6 linked regions of the Sus scrofa genome follow. The protein of the gene in region 1 purifies or fractionates together with the protein of each later gene. This does not show direct contact. Links are inferred from orthologs where the notes say so. Each region holds a gene or a part of one and is shown in the gene's direction. Other genes may lie near its edges. The genes, in order: ERLIN2, TMUB1, CANX, RNF170, INSIG1 and TMEM259.

What was found.
Region 2: the proteins of ERLIN2 (region 1) and TMUB1 purify together in Homo sapiens (affinity purification with mass spectrometry; 4 studies listed by BioGRID and IntAct, with this or other methods). This does not show direct contact. The link is inferred for Sus scrofa from reciprocal best matches to the Homo sapiens genes ERLIN2 and TMUB1.
Region 3: the proteins of ERLIN2 (region 1) and CANX purify together in Homo sapiens (affinity purification with mass spectrometry; 4 studies listed by BioGRID and IntAct, with this or other methods). This does not show direct contact. The link is inferred for Sus scrofa from reciprocal best matches to the Homo sapiens genes ERLIN2 and CANX.
Region 4: the proteins of ERLIN2 (region 1) and RNF170 purify together in Homo sapiens (affinity purification with mass spectrometry; 4 studies listed by BioGRID and IntAct, counting the BioPlex papers as one, with this or other methods). This does not show direct contact. The link is inferred for Sus scrofa from reciprocal best matches to the Homo sapiens genes ERLIN2 and RNF170.
Region 5: the proteins of ERLIN2 (region 1) and INSIG1 purify together in Homo sapiens (affinity purification with western blotting; 4 studies listed by BioGRID and IntAct, with this or other methods). This does not show direct contact. The link is inferred for Sus scrofa from reciprocal best matches to the Homo sapiens genes ERLIN2 and INSIG1.
Region 6: the proteins of ERLIN2 (region 1) and TMEM259 purify together in Homo sapiens (affinity purification with mass spectrometry; 3 studies listed by BioGRID and IntAct, with this or other methods). This does not show direct contact. The link is inferred for Sus scrofa from reciprocal best matches to the Homo sapiens genes ERLIN2 and TMEM259.

The regions. Positions count from the first base shown.
Region 1 is NC_010457.5:48,659,721-48,663,841, reverse strand, and holds the start of ERLIN2 (erlin-2), read left to right. Parts: upstream 1-1,321; 5' UTR 1,322-2,025; coding exon 2,026-2,097; exon of another isoform or gene 2,098-2,578; coding exon 2,579-2,700; intron 2,701-4,121. UniProt on the Homo sapiens protein: Component of the ERLIN1/ERLIN2 complex which mediates the endoplasmic reticulum-associated degradation (ERAD) of inositol 1,4,5-trisphosphate receptors (IP3Rs) such as ITPR1.
Region 2 is NC_010460.4:6,141,005-6,145,250, forward strand, and holds TMUB1 (transmembrane and ubiquitin-like domain-containing protein 1), read left to right. Parts: upstream 1-1,446; 5' UTR 1,447-1,485; intron 1,486-2,415; 5' UTR 2,416-2,445; coding exon 2,446-2,834; intron 2,835-3,091; coding exon 3,092-3,443; 3' UTR 3,444-3,891; downstream 3,892-4,246. UniProt on the Homo sapiens protein: Involved in sterol-regulated ubiquitination and degradation of HMG-CoA reductase HMGCR. Involved in positive regulation of AMPA-selective glutamate receptor GRIA2 recycling to the cell surface.
Region 3 is NC_010444.4:78,913,025-78,917,037, reverse strand, and holds the start of CANX (calnexin), read left to right. Parts: upstream 1-1,213; 5' UTR 1,214-1,392; intron 1,393-4,013. UniProt on the Homo sapiens protein: Calcium-binding protein that interacts with newly synthesized monoglucosylated glycoproteins in the endoplasmic reticulum. It may act in assisting protein assembly and/or in the retention within the ER of unassembled protein subunits.
Region 4 is NC_010459.5:11,783,421-11,786,920, reverse strand, and holds part of RNF170 (E3 ubiquitin-protein ligase RNF170), read left to right. Parts: intron 1-1,027; coding exon 1,028-1,138; intron 1,139-3,500. UniProt on the Homo sapiens protein: E3 ubiquitin-protein ligase that plays an essential role in stimulus-induced inositol 1,4,5-trisphosphate receptor type 1 (ITPR1) ubiquitination and degradation via the endoplasmic reticulum-associated degradation (ERAD) pathway.
Region 5 is NC_010460.4:2,895,959-2,900,125, reverse strand, and holds the start of INSIG1 (insulin-induced gene 1 protein), read left to right. Parts: upstream 1-1,367; 5' UTR 1,368-1,443; intron 1,444-2,062; 5' UTR 2,063-2,084; coding exon 2,085-2,493; intron 2,494-4,167. UniProt on the Homo sapiens protein: Oxysterol-binding protein that mediates feedback control of cholesterol synthesis by controlling both endoplasmic reticulum to Golgi transport of SCAP and degradation of HMGCR.
Region 6 is NC_010444.4:77,392,216-77,396,440, forward strand, and holds the start of TMEM259 (membralin), read left to right. Parts: upstream 1-1,425; 5' UTR 1,426-1,586; coding exon 1,587-1,808; intron 1,809-4,225. UniProt on the Homo sapiens protein: May have a role in the ERAD pathway required for clearance of misfolded proteins in the endoplasmic reticulum (ER). Promotes survival of motor neurons, probably by protecting against ER stress.

The DNA.
Region 1 (4,121 bases):
GAGGATCAATCTGGAAATTGGTCAAGTGTGTATCGGCCGGGAGGTGAGGGTGGGGTGCCAGAAGTGCAGGAACAGGAGAGGAGAGACCCTCATTTATGAAGGTGGGCACAGAACTCTCAGGAAGTGCCTTGCGGCCCACTTATGGGCTTAACAAATAAGGAAACTTCTCAACACATACTCACCCAGAGCAAACTCCCAGGGGTGAGGGGTGGTGGGGGCTGGAAATAGGCCAGCCCCAAGCAACAATGGCTGGAAAACCTACACTTTCCTTTTCCTGTGTCCTAAATCTGACCAACACCACCAGGGTGCCATTTTCCCTGTGTAAAAGCTTTCCCTGTAACCAAGGCTGTAATTAAGTGGACTGTCTCTTCGAAAAAACTTCAGTGGCTGAATTAAAAATGCCCCAATGTTATGCTGTCGACCAGTGAAGGCTGCGGTCTGGGAGACACAAGGTCTGGACGCTGGGCCTGGTTCCACTGCGCTGCAGTCTGGGTTTTTTGGTTGTTTTGTTTGTTTGTTTGTTTTTGCCAGGCACCTAAACGCCCACCCAGGGATGCTGAGGGAAGACGCAGCCCCAGCCCACAGGGAACTTAGAGCCTAGCGAGCAGGTACGGACAAGCAGCAGAAGTTACCAGGCCCTTAAGCTCCCGACGTTAGAGCAAAGCAGGCTTTCATCCACGGCTATCCTCGCGCCTCACTGAACCTACATTTTGTTCACTAAAATTAAGATAATTCCCTCAATCTGCTTTATGGTGCTGCGGGGACCTCAAAGGCCAAAGCTCCTACAAAAGCATAAAGGGCAATTCAAAGTAGTGTCTGTTGATTAGCGACGTAATGGTGCTTATCTGCACTTTTGAAAAAGGGGAGCAGAGAATTAGGAAGGTTGTAAAGGATAACCTGCTCTGAAAAAATAGGAACAGGTTTGGCCTAATCTGGAAGGGAATCCAGAGCAAACTCCAAAGTCAAAGCCTGGGAAAGTGACACCTCGTTCTCAGCTCCCGCAGCCACTGGTGCTGCCCCTGGGGTCACTCTCCAGGTGCCCGCACCACCCCCACCCCAGAAATTCCTGACGGTCGTCTTGACCGCCGGGACCGAGTCACGGGCGCCCTCTGGCGGCAATCCTCGGACAACGACCTCTCGAAGCGCGGGGGCGGGGCTGGCGAACTAGGGAGAGAAGGGGTGTGGTCTTCTCGCGTGAACTAATGGCGTCATCGAAGCGACGGGCCCGGAAGGAAGTAGCGCGCTGAGGGGTGTGGCGGCTTCTGCGGTTGCACTGGGGTTCGGACGAGTACGGAGCGCCTGGAGGGACAGCCTGGTACGCGGCCCCCGCCTCTTAGTGCGCGCGCTGGGCCTCCTTGCGGCTCGCGGCCGGAGCTGATCATCGTTTTCCCAGGCCCTCGCACAGCATCCTCTCTCCCTTGGGAGCGAGAAAGCAACCCCTTTCTGTCCCCTCCATTTCCCGCGAGCCCCTAGGCGGGACGGAGCGGAGGCTCTCGGAGCCTCCAGCCCCGACCCAGGGCTCTTGGGACTTGCGACCCTCTCTCCAAAAAGGGCAGGGAAGGAGCGCGAGGTGGGGCGGGGGTGACTTCGGGGGAGGGAAGGGCTTTTGTAGAAAGGACGCAGCTGCAGATCGGTAGCTGGAGGCCACACGGTAAAATAAGCGCCTCGCAGACGTCTGCGCCCGAGTTAAGTTAGACCCAGGAGGCAGAGTCCACGCCCTGCGCGGGTGGGCCCCGGCACCCCGATTGGGAACCTCGCTGTCAGTTACCCTAGTTTTTGCAGATCGTTCAGTGTTCAGGAAATGAGTCCCTGGATGCCAGCTCTTTCGCGTCCTGGTGTCTGAATGCAGTTGGACGCCGGAGCCCAGAGTCTCCCCAGCCTGAAGAACCCGCTTTCTGCTCTCACCATGAGCTTGCGGAACCTGCCAGGTGCAAAGCACCGGTCAAGCATATGGGAGGGAGTGTGGCTTCAGTCTTGCTCAGAGCCCTGCATTGTTTAGGGCCAAAGGAATAACTGGGAAAGTGAATGAAAGGCCAGAGAATCCCGCCATGGAACTCCGCTCGTATGCTGTCTCTGTCGCTCCAGCATCTGAAAGGAGTAAATAATGGTTTCCTTTGAAATGGCAGGCAATTAGGACTGGGAGTCTCTGACCAGAATTACACAGCCACAACTGCCTGTCATTTGACATGCTCTGTAATTTGGGCCAACGTACTGCAGCTGCTTCTCTTCCTCTTTTACTAGTATGAGTGGCTCCGGTGACAGCCCCTTCGTGTTCACAGGAAGAGAAGGCTGTGTTCTGAACGCTGACCAACTTGCACTGGTTTTCCCTTGGGCCAGGGCTGTTTCTGGAGTCACTGCCTCTTCCAGGAGGTGGGGAATATCATTCCACAGTTAAGGAATGGATGGGAGTGTCGACTGAGAGCAGGGATGAGGAGAGGTGTAGATCTAGCCTCTGTTCATACTACTATGGGCTGGATGGGAACCACTTTCAAGCGCCCAGCCTGGAGAGGTGCTCTCAGGGTCAGAGCTTTTCTCCCTCAAGTCGGACGGCACACGTTTTCCCGTTCTTTTTCCCCAGGATAAACTTTCACTGATGGCTCAGTTGGGAGCAGTTGTGGCTGTGGCTGCCAGTTTCTTTTGTGCATCTCTCTTCTCAGCCGTGCACAAGATAGAAGAGGGGCATATTGGGGTGTATTACAGGTAAGGCAGCAGCAGGCGCAATTTCCTGTTAAATGACTCTTCCCAAGTCAATGTTTAACAGATTCTGCTATCTCTGTTTGTATTTTGTTGAATAGGGGAGGATTTTAGAATGAGCTTTTGTGTCAGTGGCCATGGGGAGGGAAGTAACACACACACAAATACATACATGAAAGTAAAACTTAGTGGTCTAAGTTGATGCCATGGATGGTGATTGATAAACATTTATAGAGACTTAGAGATAAAACCTAAAGGCAAGCAGGTTCCTTGAAGATCATCTGAAACAGTGTTTGCTCCTACTTCTCTCTAGGCATCTTGGTGCCACAAGCTTACCTCTAATGAGGACCAGTTCTTGATGTAATTTAGACCTATTCTTGAAAATTGACATTTCAGGAAAAATGAAAGAGACTGCAGGTTGATTCACATCCATCAAGGCAAACTCTAGGTTCTTACAGTAACCCATTATGGTCACTTTATTTCATTACTCTTTTAAAAAAAAATGTATCTTTATTGGAGTTTCCATTGTGGCTTACTGGGTTAAGGACCCAACATAGTCTCCAGGAGGGTATGTGTTCGATCCCTGGCCTCACTCAGTGGATTAAGTATCCTATGTTGCCATAAGCTGTGGTGTAGGTCACAGATATGGCTTAGATCCAGCATTGCTGTGGCTGTGACATAGGCCATCAGCTACAGCTCTGATTGGAACCCCAGTCCAAGAACTTCCATAGGCTGCAGGTGCAGCAATAAAAAGGAAAAAAATACATCTTTGCCTTAATAAAGAGGCATTTATAAATCTTGAGTTGCTTTCCTTTTAGTAACCTCCCTAACCAAGTATTTTGCTTTAAGTCTTTACCAAACCCTTCTTATTTGTGCCCTGTGATGCTTTTTTTCTGGATGCCAATGGCAAGTTCTAAACGTCCGATTGGGTTCCCCTCTCCCCTTTATTTCTTCCTGTCTCTGATTCTACATCCCCAAATACTGCTTTTAAATTTACTGCCATTTACATAGAACTTGATTAGAAAAGTAATTCTACTGCCAAAAAAATATGTTGATGGTTTATAAAGTGTACTTAAATTTTATTCTTTTGGTTGTTCGTGTCCCTGGACTCAAACATTAGTACCATCAACTGATCACCATATTACTGGATTTAACACCCTTACGGATCACCACCAGCTCAACAGATGCGGCAAGATAAGACAGACCTCCTCTCCTGTCTTAAGTATAGCCATGGATTCTGCTCTCTTGATTCCACTTTGCCTATTTTTTTCACTGCAAAAACACAAATAATGGTTTTAGGTTTTACCATTGGGTTTCCTAGAATATTGGGGTCGAGCTGAGAGCGGGGAAAAGGAACTGTGGACCTGACTCTAGCACGTGTCAGTCTAATAGATGTTTACAGTGCTTCCGAGAAAGCAGTGTTGATG
Region 2 (4,246 bases), on another chromosome or scaffold:
AGAGAAAGGAGAGAAAAACCCACGGAAAGGAATGGGCCCAGGCCAGGCTGAGGCTCGACATCCCCTACATAGCAACACTCTAAGATCTGGGTGGAAGGAGTGTTCTAATACTAAGTGAACAAATATCCACCGTGTGACAGCTCCTCTGCATAATTTTCACACTTATTTAATAAAACACCTAATTTTTCTTGCAATTGCCTTTAAAAAAATTTTTTTTGTATTTTTTATTCTTTTAGGGCCATACCTGAGGCGTATGGAGGTTCCCAGGCTAGGGATCAAATCGGAGCTGCAGCTGCTGGCCTACGCCACAGCCACAGCCACGCCAGATCAGAGCCGAGTCTGTGACCTACACCACAGCTCATGGAAACGATGGATGCTTAACCCACTGAGTGAGGCCAGGGATCAAACCTGCATCTTGATGGATACTAGCCAGATTCTTTTTTTTGTCTTTTTGCCCTTTCTAGGGCCACTCCTGTGGCATATGGAGGTTCCCAGGCTAGGGGTCGATTAGTCAGATTCTTAACCCGCTGAGCTACAACAGGAACTCCACAATTGCCTTTTGAGGTATGTGTTGGGAACAGAGAAATTTAGGTTCAAAGACATTCAGTAAAGCACCCAAGGTCACATAGTTGATAAGCACAGGATAAGGGATCAGCATTTGTGCCACGTTCCAAAGTCTATGCCTCTTGCACAGTCTTTCGGGGGAAAGGGGAGGAGGGGACCTGGTAAATAAGCAGCCCAAGCCACCGTGGCCAGCCTGGTGGGGAAGCCCATGGATACTGGGCGCTGGGCTGAAGAGTCAATTTGGAGGATCCAGGATGACTTCTGGGGTCCACTCTGACTTAAAGTTCTTGTTGTGGCTCAGCGGATTAAAAACCCGACACAGTGTGAGGATGTGGCATGGATCCCTGGCCTCACTCAGAGGGTTAAGGATCCAGCGTTGTGAGCTGTGGTGTAGGTCGCAGATGCAGCTCGTATCTGGTGTTGCTAAGGCTGTGGTGCAGCCCGGCAGGTGCAGCTCCTATTCGACCCCTAGCCTGGGAACACCCATGTGCCGCAGGTGCGGCTGTAAAAAGAAAGAAGAGTAGGCCAAGGTAGGATCCACTCGAGCTTCCCCGATGCTGCTTCTGGAAACAGTGGTGCTCTAACAAGCTCCAGCTAACGCTGGTTTCTGGAGTAACAGATGCCCCAACTGCCCCGGGCAGGGGGCTGTCCCTGCTGTCGCCCAAACCTCTACGGGAGAGCACACCCCCCAAACCCAACCCCGCCGTCCCCTCAGCAATTTGCGGGCACTGGGACGAGACAGCCGAGTCCTGCCCGTGGATCCGCAGCGCGGAAGGCGGGGACTGCGCACCGCGCTGGACTACAAGTCCCACAATACTTCGCACGGCGGGGAAGCGGAGGGTGCCTCCAGGTGTCTGCGACCTCGCCACCTCCCGCCCGGAAGTGCCCGAGGGTCCGCTATGGAGCTGGCGGAGCCGGGCGGTGAGTCCTGCGTTCTGACCGCGCCCACCCCGCCGCCCCCGCCAGCTGGCCCCCGCTCGCCCCGCCCCGGGATCGGTCTGGCACTCCCGCCGCTGGGGTTGGGGGGCGGGCGGGAAGATGGGAGGGGTGATGGAGGATGGGGGTGGGGAGGCTAAAGTCTCGGATTCCGGCGGTATCTGGGGTCCTGCTGCGGGCTAGGTTTGGAGAGGCGTCTAAGAGGAGGCGCGGAACTGGGCCGACTCGGGGTGGAGTTTGAGTGGACCGAGGGGGGCCGAGTTGCGGTGGGGAGCAGCGACCCTCGGAGATTCCAGTTTGCCAAAGGGCTCGTTTCGACGTGGGGAAGCTTTAGGAAACTGTATCGTGTTACGGGTGGGAGGTTTGGGTAAATAGTAAAGGGGCGGGGGTGTGCTGTGTGTGTGTGTGTGTGTGTGTGTGTGTGTGTGTGTGTGTGTGTGTGTTCGTGGAGGAAAGCCTTTTGTGTGTCTGTGTGTGTCTGGAGACCTTTTTCTTCCCCCTTGGAGAAACTTTAGTGATGGAGGAATAGATAAACTTTGGGATGAATTAGATGGAAAGAATAGGTAAGCTTTGGGGTGAAGTTTGATGGGGGTTGAATTTAGGGGAGAGGTTGCTTAGAAGGTCAAGGCCTGACCTCTGAGTAGGATGTGGGTGAATTGGAGAGCTGGTTAAAGACCTAGAACTTAGGTTACAAAAAATTAGGACTTGGGGTTTGGTGATGGGAAGGGGCATGTGACCCAAGTCTGGGGCAAGCAAGAGGGAGAGCAGTCTGTGTCCCAGGGTGGGGTGTGGCTAAGTGGGCAAAGGAATTGGGACTGTGGGAGAGTTGTAGTGGGGTGGGGTCGGACGCCCCTGAAGTTCAGAGGGCTCTTGGAGGCTGAGCCAGCCCCTCATGGGTTCTTTGTGCCTCTCCAGCTCGGTAGCCCAGCGGGCAAGGCAGGTGCCATGGCCCTGATTGAAGGGGTGGGTGATGAGGTGACCATCCTTTTCGCGGTGCTTGCCTGCCTTCTGGTGCTGGCTCTCGCCTGGGTCTCAACACACACTGCCGAGGGCGTGGATCCACTGTCCCAGCCATCAGGGACCCCACCATCAACACAGCCCAGCGAAGCCATGGCGGTCACTGACAGCATCAGAGGGGAGGCCCCAGGAGCTGAGACCCCGAGCCTGAGACACAGAGGTCAGGCTGCACAGCCAGAGTCTGGCATGGGGCTCCCGGCCACACCGCCACCCCAGGACTCCCCCCAAGAGCCCCTCGTGCTACGGCTGAAATTCCTCAACGATTCAGAGCAGGTGGCCAGGGCCTGGCCCCACGACACCATTGGCTCCCTGAAAAGGTAAGCTGGGAAGAGGACGGGGTTGAAGTGGTAATGAGTCGGGTGGGAATGGTCACAGCGTGGAAGGGCCACCAGAGATGCTGATGGGAACTGAGGTCCCCAAGCCACTCACACGGTATTGTTCCTCTGAAGCAGGAGAGGCCCCTGCGGAGGGAGCCCTGGGTGGTAGGTGGAGGAGAGAAGTGAGAGAGTTGTTCTGGGCGAGGGGCCAGGATTGCCTGAGACCTGCTCTATTACCCAGGTCCCTCTCTCCTCAGGACCCAGTTTCCCGGACGGGAGCAGCACGTGCGACTCATCTACCAAGGGCAGCTGCTAGGAGACGACACCCAGACCCTGGGCAGCCTTCACCTCCCTCCCAACTGCGTTCTCCACTGCCACGTGTCCACCCGGGTGGGTCCCCCACACCCACCCTGCCCACCGGGGTCAGAGCCAGGCCCCTCCGGGCTGGAGGTAGGCAGCCTCCTGCTGCCCCTGCTCCTGCTGCTGCTGCTGCTGCTCTGGTACTGCCAGATCCAGTACCGGCCCTTCTTTCCCCTGACAGCCACCCTGGGTCTGGCCGGCTTCACCCTACTCCTCAGTCTCCTGGCCTTTGCCATGTACCGCCCGTAGTGCCTCCACGGGCTCTTGGCAGTGTCGCTGGCCCCTCCGGACCTTGCTCCCCACGACACGGTGGGAGCTGCTGTCTGCCCCGGCCGGCCTCTCCCACTTGCCTCTTCCCACTACCCTGGAGCCCAGCCCTGCGCCGCAGAGCGCTCCGGGGGCCGGCGGAGGCCCCTCCCTGTGACCTTCATGGCTCTGGGCCACCTTCTGGGGCTGCTGGCCCTCAGCCCCCACGGACAGTCAGCTCCTCCGGGTCAGACAGCTGCTGTCGCTGCCTCGGCCCTGGGCAGAGCCCGGCCACGCCCCTAGGCCCTTCTTAGTGTTCTGCCTGAAAACCCAGCCACCTCTAGTCCCTGAGAGCATCTTGAGCTGATTTAGGGACCCAAGGACGGGAGCGTGGGTGGGAAGGAGGGGGTTCTCTGGAACATGTGCAGATTAAATAACTGTGAAGTTTTCACTCTTGGTGTGTGCCTGCCTGTGTGGGCCCGTGGGGCAGGGAGCTCCTGCCCACTGGGAGAAAGACGGTAGAACGCGGGATCCGCAGCCGGACGGTCCTAGGTTCCGTGCTGGGCGCTCCCACTTACCAGGCACTTCGCCCTGCCCAACCTGCCCAGGCTGGCTGCCGACTTCCCCTCTGCTTTTCGCTGCATCCTCGGCTCCTCGCCCTTGGGCTCCGCCCCGCTCCTAGTCCCGCCCCCGCCCCGGAGCCGCGCGCGCAGCTTCCCAGAAGCAGGGGGCGGGGCGCGCGGCACCCTGGCGCGCGGGGCCTGACGGGAGCCACGTCTCCGCTGGCGGAGGACCGTGCCGCGATT
Region 3 (4,013 bases), on another chromosome or scaffold:
AGGCCAGGGATTGAATCCGCATCCTCACAGACACTATGTTAGGTTCTTAATTCACTAAGCCACAATAGTAACTCCTGGAGGATCTTATTCATGAAATCCGTACTGTTGGAAAATGCTTCAAAGAAGCAAACAACATCCTGTGGCCCTTCAAACTATCTTCTCCTGAAGGGCCCAGATAAATAGATCTAACAGGCTTATTAAATGGATGAACTGAGTTGTCTATGTGATTATTTTTGTAATCTGGGTCAGTAAATAAAGTGACTTCAAATTGTGAAAAAAACAAACACAAAATTCATTCTTCAGAGATTTGGCCTCAGCTTCCTTTTAAGAACATTGTGCTTTAACGGAAAAAAAATCTCTAACAAGATCCTTAGTAGGATCTACAGTCCTGCTCTGTCTCAGGCCCAGAAAACTGAAGATGTGCTAAAAGTTAGTTACAAAATCTGTGGTGTGTTTGAAAATTTTCCATTGCACCATCTTTTTCTCACTCACTGCTGTTAAGTGTGATTGTGCCCTTTTTGTCTTATCTTGCTTTTGGAAACATCACAAATTGAAAGTTGAAGTAACGCTGGATTATAGTATTCTGGGCTATATTTTGACGTTGGGTGATAAGGCGGCCTCAGACTGCTGGGCCCAGAGCAATGACTCTGCAGGAACGGTGGCGCCTGGTGTACAGCGACTCCAGGACAGGCCAAGGGAGCCGTGACTGATTCCATCATATCTGCGCACTCGCTGCACTGGAAACCAGGTCCTTCCCGATGGCTCAATGGACCTCCCACCCATCCTGCCAGCTTCCATTTGCTCTCTCATCGAAGGGAATGAGATGCCAGACCCCGAGGCCCGGGTCCAGGCACCTGAACGGTCGAAACCATAGAAATTAGGATGCAGTGCCGGGCAGCGCGCCCACTAAGGCACCAGAACAACCAGCGCGGGAACGCCTGCCTGGCCAGTCCCGCCCCACGACGCGCGCGCGCGCGCGCGCGCCCCCGCCGATCCCGATGCCGCCGTACACCGCCTCCTTCCATACTGCCCAACCAACAGCCACTTCCTGCCTCACTCCTAACCAATCCCCACACTCCACGAAGAATAGCCCTAGGGGGCGTATGGGAAGGTGCATAGAGCGATGGCCACAATAACCAATTGAATTCAGGATCTTGCGCGAGAGGGCGGGACTTGGCGCTGGTGGTAGCTACTGAGGAGACAGGGGCGGACGCAGGGCCGGGCTTCGTGCGGTGGGGCTCGCTCGCGCGGCGGCTGCAGGAGTCGAGGCCTCTTGGTTCTGCGGCACGTGACGGTCAGGCTCCCTCAGCCGCTGTCTCCACTGCAGCGTGGGGCCAGGTGTGCGGGCGGGAGGAGGCGCGGGCACCACCGGCGGTCCTCCTGAGGCTTGAGGTGAGACAGGGGCCTGCCCGTGTCTTCGGGCCTGTGAGGACCCTCGGGGGCCTGGGTGCGCGGCCTGGCGGCGGAGGTCTCGAGAAGCCGGGCGTGGCCGGGGCTGAGGGGTCCGGCTGAGTTTCGATGGCTCAGGCCCTGGTGGACCCGCCAGACGGGATGGGTTAGGCCTGAACCTGGGCCGCTTGAGTTGCGGAGCCAGGCCCAGGCCGCGCCGCCGGGGTTGGGAGGCGTGGCAGGTGTCCTAGAGCCTTTCTTGACCTCTGGGAAAGCTAACTTCTCTTCATGGTTCTGCTTCTAGGGCTTTCTTATACCTATTGCTGACTGCCTGGGAAGCTGTGAGGTGGGGTAGAGTAACCGGGTAAAGGTCTGGAATAGGATCGGGCCTTGTTGGTACTCTTAGTAGTGGGGAAAGGTGATAATAGGACAGAGAGAGGATATTTAGAATTAGCATTACAGATCTAAAATTTGAAAATTAAAACCGCAAAGTGAAGACTGGACTGTAGCAGCCTGAAGAGTATGGAGAATGTGCTAGAACACGCACTGGTTAAAAAACTTAAGTCCTAACATTTACATCTATTTGGAGATTGGGGGAGTAAGTAATCTCGTCGTAAATTCAGTGGGCTTTTAAAAGCAGGAAAGCACCCAAAAGCTCTCCGTGGGCAGGTCGTTTTATAGTGAAGGAAACTGAGGCCCAGAGCTCAGAAATGATCGGCCCAAGGTCATGCGATTAGTTTTATGATCACGTTGGAATTACAGTTGAAAGCTAGGCAGTTTGTGTGTAGTGGTTAAGACTAAGGCCCTTGTTCAGGTCCTTCATCAGCCATTTGTTGCTATGTGAACCTGGGCAGTTCACTTCGTTTCAGATAATGGATGTAATACCTGATAGAGTTGTTGTTACCATTAAGACGTGTGTAAGAAAGAGCAGGAAAGTTAGATGTACATTTTTAACTGCTTGATAAATGACTGCAGTAAATTATTATGGTGAATGCTGTTGATCCACTACACTAACATCCTAATTAGCTAAGTCCTATTTTCCAGGACCTGAAGTCACATTTATGGAAATAGGAGGAAGAAACTGGACCTAGTGGTTTGACTGCTGATTGAGGGAAGTTAAACTGAGCTGGATATTAATTAAAAGCTTGGGAGGAGAAAGGTGAACCACAGTTAGGTCTCTTTACCTCTAATTTAAGAAATAGAACCTTTTACTTAATTTCTTAATGGGTAGAATGGTGTGGGGAGGTTTTCGTTCTGTTTTGTTTTGTTTTAAGAGGGGAACCCCGTTGATCTTCAAGACTGTTGTGTACCTCACTCTTTTTTCAGTACTGTTGAAGGGTCACTGCTGAGTTGTATATTTGCTGTAGTTAGAGCAGAGGTAAAGCACTGTGTGGGAGTCCTCCTGTGCACCAGTCTGTGTGCACAAGCAAACAAGCCAGGAAACTGGATCATGAGGTGGCTACAGTGAGCTGTGTATTGGAGTAAATGTGTTGCACCGCAGATTTTCTGACCTATCCGATAATGGGTGTCAGCATCCCTTCCTACTTGACTATCTCTCCTTAACAGTTTCAGCTAACACATTATCTTCCAAAGAGTAAACGTTTTGACAGAAGTTGTTGCTGCAGTTTTGGCAATCCTGCTATTGCATCCTTTCAGTTACAGAGTTCACTTTGCCCTGAGAGATAGCTTAAGGGAACGAAGCGACAGTTGGTAAGCATAAATGCAGACTCAAGAGACTTGAATTCCAGGCCCAGCATGGTAACTAGCTTATGAGCTAAGTTGGTTTCTATGTCTTTAAAATTGGAGTGAGGAATCCTCTGACTACCTACCTTACCATTAGGGGGCTTTTTAGGAGGGACAAGTAAGATGGTGAACATGAAACTACTTTGTTTTTTTTTTGTTTGTTTTGTTTTTTGTCTTTTTGCTATTTCTTTGGGCCACTCCCTCGGCATATGGAGGTTCCCAGGCTAGGGGTCTAATCAGAGCTGTAGCCACTGGCCTACGCCAGAGCCACAGCAATGCGGGGCAACGCGGGATCTGAGCCGCGTCTGCAACCTACACCACAGCTCACGGCAACGCCGGATCGTTAACCCACTGAGCAAGGCCAGGGACCGAACCCGCAACCTCATGGTTCCTAGTCGGATTCATTAACCACTGCGCCACGACGGGAACTCCCATGAAACTACTTTGAATGGAATAATGAACTGAACTGTGCAAAGAAGAGCTGGCAGCTCATAACAACTCCTAGAAAATAATAAAAGTGCCTGAACATAGTTATAACCTGTAGACTTACTGTAGAATTGCAGGAAGGTACAGGTTGAATATTTTGTTGCCTAAAACAGATGTACATTTAAATTAATCTTAGCTATGAGCTGTGAAAATTATTTGGAGAATTATGCTTTTTAGAGGATTTAGAATCTTCAGCAGCGTTTGAGTAGCCACCTCTTAAACCTTCTTACTTTATAGGAAAAAACCGCTATGGAAAAATAGATTTTAATGTTCCTGTCAGTGAAAAGCAAACTTCAAAACAGTAAACTAGGAAACTAGGCAGTATATATCTATTTTCAAGTAGATGGGCATTTACAATAAAGACCACTTTGAATTTTATGTACTTTCCCCCCTTT
Region 4 (3,500 bases), on another chromosome or scaffold:
CAGTATCAAGTATTACCTTTTTGATTGTGATAGAAATGGGTGCTTGAGAGCTGGTTCCTGCAATAACATCATCTCTGTATTAATGGTTGGTTGCATTCAAAGATCATTCAAGTACCAGCAAGGATAAGGAATCATGATTTTAATCAAAAATGAAATCCCTAGCAGTTCCCACCAATGGCGCAGTGGGTTGAGAATCTGACTGCAGGAATTTCTGTCGTGGCTCAGTGGTTAACGAATCTGACTAGGAACCATGAGGTTTTGAGTTCGATCCCTGGCCTTGCACAGTGGGTTAAGGATCCGAAGTTGCCTTGAGCTATGGTGTAGGTCACAGACGTGGCTCTGATCCCACGTTGCTGTGACTCTAGCCTAGGCCGGCAACTACAGATCTGATAGGACCCCTAGCCTGGGAACCTCCATATGCCATGGGTGCGGCCCTCGAAAAAGACAAAAAAAAAAAAAAAAAAAAAGTGGCTCAGGTCTCTCCAGAGGCTCAGATTTGATCCCCAGCCCAGTGCGATGAGTTAAATGATCTGGTGTTGCCTCAGCTGCAACCTATGGCTCGGATTCAGTCCCTGGCCCCGGAACTTCCAAGTGCAGTGAGTGTGGCCAAAAAAGAAAAAAAAGAAAAAAAAAAAAAAAAGAAATCCCTAATTTTTCTCTCTCAAAGTTATAGGTATATATTTCTCTGTCATTTTGCTCCTGAATATTTTCTCATCATTGTTATATCTTTAAATATCTGTTAGCCCAAAGAGAAAACTACTGACTTTATCCCTGTCATGGATTGGAAAATATTTAAATAAGGTGCCCGTTTTACGTTACAGGAGTTCACATTATATTTTGAATTGGGTTTTCTTGTAAGGCAATGATAACTTACTTTCCTCCCCTGTGGTGCCTGTGTCAAAAGAAATGAGCAAAATACCAATTTGGAAGCTTTTCTCATTCTACTGAATAGTAATAAAGTGAAAAAAATCACTGGTACAGAAAAGTGTAACAATTTCTTTTTTTTTTTTTCCCCTGTAATATGCAGGTAACTTTACTCCTAACAGTATTTGGTGAAAATGACCAGTCTCAGGACGCAATATCACTGCATCAGGATGTTAATGATTATAATCGGAGATTCTCAGGGCAGCCCAGATCTGTAAGTAATGATACAGCAGGTGCACAGTTAAAATGTAATGATACTTCTCCTTTGTATACTGAGGTTTTACCGACAGATGTTCTTTGATTCTGAAAAATCTGTATGTCTTGCATAAAGTTTGTACCTTCATCATTGTTGTCCTTACTGAGTTATAGCTTTCCCAAGGACTACAATTTTCTATCTTAAGGGGAAAAAAGGGCATTATAAAACTTTATGAAGTGATGCCAGCAATAGAAAAAAATTGGAAGGAAATGTAAAATTCTTGAAATAGGGTTTGTCATGTGAGAAACTTACAGCTGAGAACTTCTGGAGTTTTACCGTTGTGTTTTATTCTTATTTTACTTACCCTGGCCCCCAGTTTGAAATGTTCCCTTTAGTAACCCTAAGTTTGGGGGGTTTTCTATGTCAGCTATTCAAAAGCATTCCACTTTAAAGAATATATCAATTCTACAATTGCTCCTCTTCCCCCAAAAGGCATTTGATAGATTAAAATTCTGTCACATTATACTGATTCATCCCAGGTTTCTCAAAATTTAACAAAGAATTATAGAAGTGTGTGTCTGACTGAACATTTATTTCGAGACCCGGAGCATACTAAGTGCAAATTCACATGGGGAGCCTAAGCTGTCCTCCAAGCTCTGGCCTCCCATGTTCCCCTGCTCAGCCTCCATCTTGCCAGGATGCTCCTGGCATCTCAGGCTTAACACAGACAACCTGGCCCTGTTCCCAGTCACTCAGCTTAGTGGGTTTTCTTTGTTTTTTGTTTTTTTTGTTTTTTTGCTTTTTAGGACTGCACCCATGGCATATGGAGGTTCCCAGGCTGGGGGTCTAGTTGAAGCTGCAACTGCCAGCCTATACCACAGCCATAGCAATAAGGGATCCAAGCCTCGTATGCAGCCTACATCACAGCTCACAACAACGCTGGATCCCTAACCCATTGAGTGAGGCCAGGGATCGAACCTGCTTCCTCACGTGGATGCTAGTTGGGTTTGTTACCACTGAGCCACGATGGGAACTTACCACTCAGCTCAGTTTTGATGTCCTCCTCTGATCTCTGAAGAAGTCAGAGATCATGTCTTTTCTCTTTTGGGGGGATCCTGACATTTTTATCTCATAAGAATGTCCTGTGTCTATAGCCATCAAACTAGTCCCAGCCACCACCATCTCTTGCTTAGCCAACTTGCAATGGCCTCTTCGCTTGGAGTTTTTTTTCTCTGCACAGCAGCCTGAGTAATATTTTGAAAACACAAGTAAGGCCATGATATTTTTGTATTTTAAAGCTTCCAGTTTTTGGAATAGCGTCTGAACTCTTGGCTGCAGCTTACAAAGACGGTCCGGTCCCCCTCCCCCTCCCCAGGACATGCTCCACGCCTCCCACCTTCATGCCTCATGCGTGCCTTTTGCTCTGCTTGGATTGCATGTCCCTCTGCTCCTCTCCTGGCTTTCTCATCCTGCAGGGCGTTCCTATGTAGACCTTTCTTGGAGAGGCTGCCCTGATCAACCAGGATGGTCTCTGTCATTGCCCTCAGCCTTGTTCACTACCTTTCTCTCAGGAGGCAAGCTTCATGAGGGCAGGGACCCTGGTTAGTCATTACTATAGTCTCAGTGCCTGGGATATAATGGGCCCTTAACATCTGTGGAATTAATGGTTATCATCCTTAAGATAGGATGGATACCACGACTCCCAGCCAAGAATAGATGCTGTTAAAATGCTTCTGTATTAAACAGTTGTGACTGCCTGTGCTCCTTGGTACACACTGTCCATCATCCTGTGATGTCATGGACATTTCAAGGCATACAGGCTCACCTGTTGTGGATGGCAATGTGCAGATCTTTTTAGAAGTTTAAACAACAAGAGAAGTGTGACCCAGTCACTGTTGTCCTCCCTAGCTGTTTGGAGCCTCTTCTCTTTCTCATCCAGCAATTTTCTTACATGTCCACTACTGGTTTCTTAGGATGTTTCTCTGAAAATCAGTGATTCAAAGTCAAGAACTACCACTGAACTTAAAAAAAAAATCATTTTAAGGAGTTCCCATTGGAATTCCTGTCGTGGTGCAGTGCTTAACGAATCCAACTAACTGTGGGGTTTCGGGTTCGATCCCTGGCCTTGCTCAGTGGTTGAGGATCTGGCGTTGCCATGAGCTGTGGTGTAGGTTGCAGACGCGGCTTGGATCCCGCATTGCTGTGGCTGTGGTGTAGGTCAGCGGCTACAGCTCCGATTGGACCCCTAGCCTGGGAATCTCCATGTGCCATGAGAGCGGCCCTAGAAAAAAGGCAAAAAAAAAAAAAATAGGAGTTCCCATTATGACTCAACAGTAACGAACTCGAGTAGCACTCGGGTTCGATCCCTGGCCTCGATCAT
Region 5 (4,167 bases), on another chromosome or scaffold:
CCTGACCAGTCACCTAACGGATCACCCTTGGGGGCCAGGAGAGTGAGCCATCCACTGCAGGCATGGCTTTTCTTTGTAGTCTCCTGATGGCCATCACAAATTCATGTGAATTCCCACCCCATCAGCCCCTAAAAATGAAGTCTGAGAAATGTTGATACCTCAGGAAGGTTTTTTCCAACCTTCTGCCATAAAAACCACAAACCCTGAGGTACGATGCCACACAATGCAGTACTTGACACCGCCTAAGCCTGTGAGCTCTCTTGACCCTATTAGAGCACAGACTTCCTCTCACCTGCAGAGAGAAAAGGCCGCACACTTGCTCTACTGTCTTTCCAGGACATCTTAAGTATCTTGCTCAACAAAATGTGGGTTTCCAGGTGGCACAGGGCCTGCCCTGCTATTTAGATGGTGTGACCATGGGGCAAACAGGATATAAATACATTACATCAACAAGATAAAACAGCGTTCTATTTTTTCTAAGTGGTTCTGATGGTTTGTTTCCCACTGAAAGACAATTCGAAACGAGAAGAAACGATTTTATGAATGACGATTTCATCATTTACATTTTCGTAAGTATTTTATGTCAGAAAAGTTTTCTGAACCACGCTGGTGGCAGAAAAACATAAAAGCACCCTTAACAACACCTAGATCCTTGCACGCAGCATACACAGCTCTCGTCTCCGAGCCCTCGCTCCCTGCCAGCACCTGCTGGTCGCTGCGCACACGAACCCGCTTTGCATGAGCAGGTGCGGCCACCACTGAGAGAGCTGACAAGGACCAGAGGTCAGAGCATCTTCAGGGCACAGGCGGCTGCAGAGTGACCAAGTGGAGCGGCCGCAGGGGAGAGGCTTGCCAACCGCCACGCCTGGGTGAGGGTCCGGCGACCTAGCTGTTCAGCCGCCGGACTCCAGGCCCGCGGCTGCCAATCCCTGGAAATCGCCCTCTCTCCGCGGTCCGCCGGGAACCTGCGCGGGGCGCCTCCCACCCGGGGCCCCGGATGCTCTCGGCCGACCCCTGCCTGCCGTCGGTGCGGCCCCCGCCCCCGCCCCGTCCGGCCGCGCCCAGTTCCAGCCCCCGTCCCGGGCCGGGAACAGCCAGTCCGCCGCCGGCCGTCCGCGCTCCCGAGCCAGTGCGCCGAGCTCGGGGCGGCGGTGGCGTGTGATGACGTCATATGGGCCGCCCGCCCACGATTGGCCGCGGCCGCCTCACCAGACCGTGAGCGGCCGTGCGCGCGGCCGGGGCGGGGCGCGCATGGGCCACGCCCCGAGAGCGCGGGCGGGGTGGCGGGCCCGGCCGGGGTCACGTGAGCAGCGGTATCACCGCCCGCCTTATAAGCTGCGCCGCGCGTGGACGGCCGCGGGCTCAACTCCAGGCGTTCTGGGCCGCGACTCTCCTCGGCGACCTCCTCCCCCGGCGAGCCCGCGGGCGGGCGCCCTTGGCCAGGTACGAGGGTGCGGCAAGGGAAACTGGGCCGGGAGCGGTGGGGAGCCCTGGGGACGGGGATGTCGAGGTCCCGGCAGCCGCCCCTCTAGACGGCCTTCCATTGGGGTCCTCAGCACCCACCCTCGGGCCTGGGTGCGCACCCTGACTCCAGCCCCAGCCGCGGGGTGGGGGACTGCATCCCCGACATCAGGTGGGCTCTGCCAGGGCTGTTCTCCGTCCGGGACGACCCCAGCAACTTGTCCTGGGGCGGCCTGCCGCTGGCTGGCCTCTGCCTCCTGCAGACGGGCGGATTCTGAAAAACTTTTGGACTGTACGGCCCAGAACTTCAGGGCTCATACAAGGAGGTACTGCAGCGGGATCACCCAGGTGTAGCTAACACCTGGCTGTGGCTGCAGCCTGTGCATCACCCAGGGCCCGGGTGTGGACAGGGTCCTTGCAGCCCCTCCCCCGCAGTACTTGCCCGTGGGCTACCCTGTGCGGCTGACTCCCTGAGACTCGGGGGTTTTCCTGGCCAGTGAACGTGCCCAGAGCCATGTCTCTGGGCCTCTCTGAACCTGCCCTGTCCCTTGGAAGTGAACTTGATCGGGATTCCCTCTCCCCACCCCCGTTTTCCTTCTAGGAAAGCCTGTCAGGTGTGGCTGATGCCCAGACTGGACGACCACCTCTGGAGCTGTCCCTGTGTTAAGGGCACGAACCACAGAGGCCACCCCAGGGCCAGTGCCAGAGGGCAGGAGGCCAAAGTGGGGGAGATGATCAGCTCCTCTGTGTCAGGCCCCTCTCTGCTGGTGGCCCACGGTGCCCAGGGCCCTGACCCCTCTCATGCGCCTCAGAGCACTGGCATGGGGAGCCATGGTGGCAGCGGCCACACCAACAGCTGGCATCACCACCTGCTGCAGAGGAGCCTGGTGCTGTTCTCGGTGGGGGTCGTGCTGGCCCTGGTGCTGAACCTGCTGCAGGTCCAGAGGAATGTCACCCTGTTCCCCGAGGAGGTTATTGCCACCATCTTCTCCTCAGCCTGGTGGGTCCCTCCCTGCTGTGGGACGGCCGCTGGTGAGTAGAAACAAACGACGTCTGTCTGGTGAAAAGCGGTTTTCAGCCTGTGGGAACCATTTGTGTGAAAATGGAACCATCCACAGAGGAGACTGTGCATCCCAGCGACTGTGTTTGGGGAGGGGGCTTGGAGGCTGGAGGAGGCCCGGTGGTGGAGATGGCGGGGAGGCCACTGGCTGCTTCTCGCCCGCTCGTGCCAGGCTGGCCAGGTCCTTCCCTCTTCCTGACCCGGCCCTGAGGCCAGTGCTGGGGGAGCCCCGCAGCTGTCATCCTAACCAGCTGCCCGGATTGGCCGCGGGCAGGACTGGTGAGCGGCGGGGCTGGAGTGCCATTGGCTGCCCCGGGGAACACGCTACCGGCCCGGTAACTGAAAACAAACCGTCACGTGGGCCCAGTGGGCAGAGCTGCTGCCCCAGCCCAGCGGCCTCCTGCTCTTCCTTTTTTGGAACAGCCCAGTGAACGTGGCCAGAGCCTGGCCTTGCCCCCACCGCTGGGCTCTGGGATGAAGGAAAAGGAAGTCTCTGTTTAGAGTTTGGACAGGAGCCACCCTGGCCAGACCCAGTCGTGACCCCGGGGCAGCAGTCTGCTGTGGACAGGTGGACTGGCTGTTTGGAGTAGAGTTGCTCAGTTATTTGGTTGCTCAGTTATTTGGTTTTATAAAAATGGCTCAGAAGGTCACTCAGTTCTTCCGGTCACACAGCATTTGCTGTGGACGAATTAATGGATGAATGGACACCTGCCGGGTGCTCTCTGTGGCCTCCGCCCGCCTGGCTGTAAAGCACGGAGCAGACACTCCCGTCGGACAGCCTCGCGTTGTAGCTCCCCTCTGTGAACTGCCGACCTCGCGGGCTCTGATCTTTCTCCTTTTTTCTTCTTTTTTTGGCCGCGGTGCGTAGCCACTTGATGTGGGGTCTCAGTTCCCAGACCAGGGACTGAACCCCGGCTGCAGCGGTGAAAGCGCCACGTCGGCCCCACGGGCCACCAGGGAACGAGCGCCCTGCCTCCTGTTCCGTAGGCTGTGCTTCCTTTGGTCCTTTCAGCAGTGCTCTGCTTCAGCGCCACTGCACAGAGGCGAGAACTGAATCAGAGAGGTGAAGCTCCTGTGTCTGCAGGGGCACAGCGGAGTGACAGGTCCCCGTTCGCAACCCTGCCTATACTGCCCCCTGGAGTCTGGGTGTGTCCCCTGCACCCTGGAGAGGGGCGTCTTCTCAGCAGGCTCACTTCAAACTGCAAGGAAGCAGTGGGCTTGGAGTGGAGCTTGTGTCCTAGGCAGGATGCCTCATGACGGGGACACTATGGTGATGAAGCAGAGAGTGGAAGGTTTTTCTCTTTGTTCTCAGAAACACTGGCTACTGTTGTTTTTCTAACCCCTTTAAGTTCATGGCTCTACTCTTAATCCTTTTGGAGAAACATCTCTTTCTATTCACATTTGGCACAATAGTTTCTTTGAATCAAAAGCTTGATTTTTAAAACCACTGAACCATTTTAGTTTAGGCTTGATTTGCAATTGAAGCTTCAAGGAATTCCAGGCATATCTGAAACACAACTTCTCATACCTTACTCACTTTTTTTTTTAAACCATCCGTCAAGGGCATAAGGGGAGAAATTCCATAGTACATTTTCACTTATTTAGCTTTTAACCTTAAAGGGCAAGATTAAGTTATACTGACTTGA
Region 6 (4,225 bases), on another chromosome or scaffold:
TTTAGCTCTCCTTTTGCAATTAACAAGTGATCTGGGGGTGATCCATAAGAGTATCAAGCATGTGCACTGATTGAGTGCCTACTGATATGCCAGGGCGCACTATGAAACTGAAAGTCTTCACTCCAGGGAGTGGGATTAAACTGGCAGGTAGGTTTGGAAGGTTCCCTCAGGTAGGTTCCAAGACACAGCTGAAAAGTCTCCCCCTCCCCCGCCCCCACCCCCAGTGCAATTCAGAAGAGACCCCCTCCCAGGGCCTGGTTTTTCTCAGAAGCCCTGTCTGTGCCTTTCACGGTGGGGTGCTCACCATTGGGAACCAGACCAGACATCCACCTCAAGAGGTCCGCCTGTCTCCTGCTGGTCCCTGGGCCCTGTGAGGGCAGAATCCAGCCTGCACTGGCCACCGCTGTGTCCCCAGCACCAGCGCAGGCCCTGGGGTACTGTAAGCCACTTCCCTGAAACGTCTGAGCAGGCTTTGGGAGTCCTTCCCCAGGGCCGACACTCAGGATGCCTGAGCCCCTGGTCTCCAGCTCCATCTGCCCTTCCGTGCTTCCTGAGAAAGCCCACCCATACCTTGCTTTGGAACCTGGCATACAGTAGGTGCTCAACGAATGTTGGGACTGATTACTTCCTTGGTTACCAGGAGGAGCCAAGGCGTTTCAAAGATGAATGAAGGAGCGAGAATTTGGTCCAGACGTGTCCACCCAGGCTTGGCACCAGGCGGCAGCCAGGAGGAGGGGATGGTTGAGGCTCTAAGAATGCTTACCTCGGTTTCAGAGTCTTTTTCAGGGACCAGGTACACATCACTTGGGCCAGGGAGCAGAGAGGGACCCACTGAGCAGCCCGGGTCACAGAACAAAAAGCCAAAGCCAAGAGCGCTAGTGGGCAAGATCTGGATTGTGAAAAAGAAAAAAGCCTTTGCTTCAGCCTCTAGAATGAAAACAGCGCTCAGTAAACGACACAACCTGGGCCACCACTACGAAATGCTGGAAGGTGAGAGCCGGGTAAAGCCCGGAAACACCACACACGCTAATAACGTTACGAAGCACCCTTTCGGAACCACCGAAAGCGAAGAAAACAAAAGCCATACTTCCCGGGACATTATTTAAAGATCCCAATGCGATCACTTTACAGTTAGGGCAACCTAACGTAAGCGCAGCTACAGCATAATTTTCTAGAGCGCCACAAAGAAAACATCTTCACCGGTCACATTTACCTTACGTTTATTTTACCACCTCCAAAATCCTTATATGTTGACTAATTTTATCGCTCGCCTTCCAGCTGCATGGGCAATATGCAAAAGACCTGGGGACTAACGCAGCCCCGCCCCTAGGCGTTCCGAGCCAGGCGTCAGGACGGTGGGCGGGGCCGCCACGGGCCGACCGCCGGTATCCCGGCGTTCCGCGCGAGCGCAAGGAGGCCGCTCTTGCCCGCGCCGCGACTCGCTGGCGTCAGCTGGGGCACGGAGGCGGAAGATGGCGGCTGTAGCCCTACGGCCGTGAGGAGCGCGGCGGCGGCGAGGACTGCCGATGGCAGTCGGGAGGCGTCCTCGGGGACCCGCGGGCCGTTAGGGCGCGACGCTGGGCGGCATGTCGGAGCACGCGGCGCCCGGGGCACAGGGGCCCGGGCCCAACGGTGGCGGCGGCCCGGCCCCCGCGCGCGGGCCTCGCACCCCCAACCTCAATCCCAACCCTCTCATCAACGTGCGCGACCGGCTCTTCCACGCGCTCTTCTTCAAGATGGCTGTCACCTACTCGCGCCTTTTCCCTCCCGCCTTCCGTCGTCTCTTCGAGTTCTTCGTGTTACTCAAGGTGACCGCAGCCCCAACCCTTGACACCGGTAGCCGGACCCTTCCCTCAGATCTGCGACTTTTGATCCCGCCGGGGGGAGCGCGCCCCTCCCACCCGGAGGCATAGACCCGGCCCTACCCGTTGGGACCCTTCCCTTTAAGCCTGCCATTCCCGACCCCCTGCCTAGAAACTTCCAACCGCGAAGGCCCGAGGCTCATCCGGTTAGTGGCTCCTGATCCCGACTCCAGGAACTCACTCCCAGCCTTTTCCAGCCGCACCCCACCCCTGGCCTCGCCCTTCCCCGCGTCCCCCACCTCCGGAGGCTGGAGCCCGGCAGTCCAGCTCCAGGACCTCCTGGCCCTGCCGCCTGGGATTCTCAGCCCCGGATGATCCTTTCCCAATCCTCCGAGTCTGGCCTGGCCCAGCCCAGAACTCCAATCCTGGAGGATTCCAGGTTCCACCGCCAATGCCCCCTTCCCAGGACACACCCCCCTGGCCTCCCACTGCACCGAAAGCTCCTCCCTCTTTTTCTTAGGGCTCTGCTTTGGTCCTTCAGCTTGTTCCCACCCCCATTCTCCCTGCTCTGAACCTCCCGGGGGAATGTGACCTAGCTGAGGTCACATCGCCAGGGCTAGTGACAAAGTCCCAGCCGGTGGCGCTGCTTGTGGCACAGTGAGGGACCTCCTGGGAACCTACTGCCTGTCCTGCCTCTGGTGGCAGAGCTTTCAGCTGGGAGGATAGTTCTGGGAGGACGGGTGTCTGCATGGGTCCTCCAGGAAGGGGTCTCACTCAGAAGGAGCTCACTGGGTGCCAGGGTCCTGGTTGCCATTTCGTTTGGTGTCCTGTAGTTACTGCCAGGCTGGGGTGGGAGTGCTGACATTGGAGTAAGTTTTGGATCCTTCATCTGCAGAAAAGAGGCTGGTGCTGACGGTCAAGGTACATGGAGTGCCAGCCAGGTCAACTTGGTTGGTGTGGTGCAAAGCGAGCTAGTGTGGCTGTCCCACAGACCTGGGTGTGGGTTCCAGCCCCGCCACAGCCTCCAGGGAGACCCTGAAAGCCCCAGGCCTAAAGTGAGACTGACACATGCTCTTTGCCTCACAAGGCTGTGCGGAGCCTGCCTGCCTGCCACCCACCCCCCAGAATGGCAGTCATCCCCTTTCAGAGGCATGGAGTGAGCCTCTGAGGATCCTGAGTTAGGATGTCTCTATCTGGCTCCTGGGACCCAAGAATGGCTTGAATGGAGGGAAACCCATGCATGGAGTGATTTCCTTAGGAAAGGGAGGATGGTTCTCCCCAGAGGAGCCCCTGCCAGGTGTGCCCTGTGTGAGGTGGGCCCCCTCTCCAGAAGTTCAGCCTCCTCTGAGAGCAGGTCCTGTACCGCTTCCTGATTGAGGAGCCAGGCAGGGCAGGGCTTGGGGCAGGTGGGGTGTGTATCCATTCTACGTCCCTGGTCCCCTGCATCTCCTCTCTGGACAGAGTGCAGCCAGAGGGGTTCCTTGCTCCCTGTGAACCTGCCTGGCCCCTGGTGGCTTTGGTGTCCTCCAGTGGAGTCGGGGCAACTGATCTCTGAAGCAGTCTCAAGTACCAGAAAGCTCTGCCTCGTAGCTTCCTGCCTTGTAGCTTCCGGGCTCTTGCTGCAGAGATGAGTTGCAGAGATGAGTTCCCCTGTCGGACTTCCTCACGCTGGCCTCTTCCTGGGGCACCTGTTCTGCTGAGCTCACTGTCGGCAGAGTCAGCCCAGCTCCCTGCTGTACCTCGGGTGCTTCTGGGGACTGGAGTCCAGGGCCTTTGGGGAGCAAGAGGTAGGGTCCAGGCCTGTGTTTGAGGCAGACCCCTGCTGGCCTTGGCTCCCACCTCTGCTGGATCACCCAGTACCAGGCCAGGGGCAGCAGGCCTGAGGTGCCTGAGCCTGTACAGTTGGACTCTGGGCCCTGGGGAGTCTGATCCTGCTGCCACTGAGCGGACACCCACAGGGTCATGGGGCTCTGACCAGGGCACCTTTGCCATTCACTCCCTCTATGCCACCTCTCACCAGTCTCTGGGACCCAGTGATGAGTGGGCTGACCAGGAGGAGAGGGTGACAGAGCAGCAGGGCAGGAGCTGTTAGGGCAGGCATCCTGAGGCTGTGAGGAGGTGGGCGGCAGGAATGGTGTCTGTGAAGGCCTTGGAGCTGGCATGGCGGTGTGGCTAGAGAGGTGGGGCACAGGGTCATGGAGTGCCAGGGGCTGGGGGCTGGCGCACCCAGGGCCAGTGAGGTGGCCAGGAGAGGCCCTGGACAAGACTCCTGAGACCCTAGAATGGAGAAGTGGGCAGGGCTGCTGGGTCCCTGAGTGGGCCCCAGACCCCACCTTGCCTGGGTGGATGGGACTTCCCTGTGGCAGACGATGACTGAAGTTTTGTCTGCTAGCTTGTTCCATAATAGGGAAACTGGCCCAGAG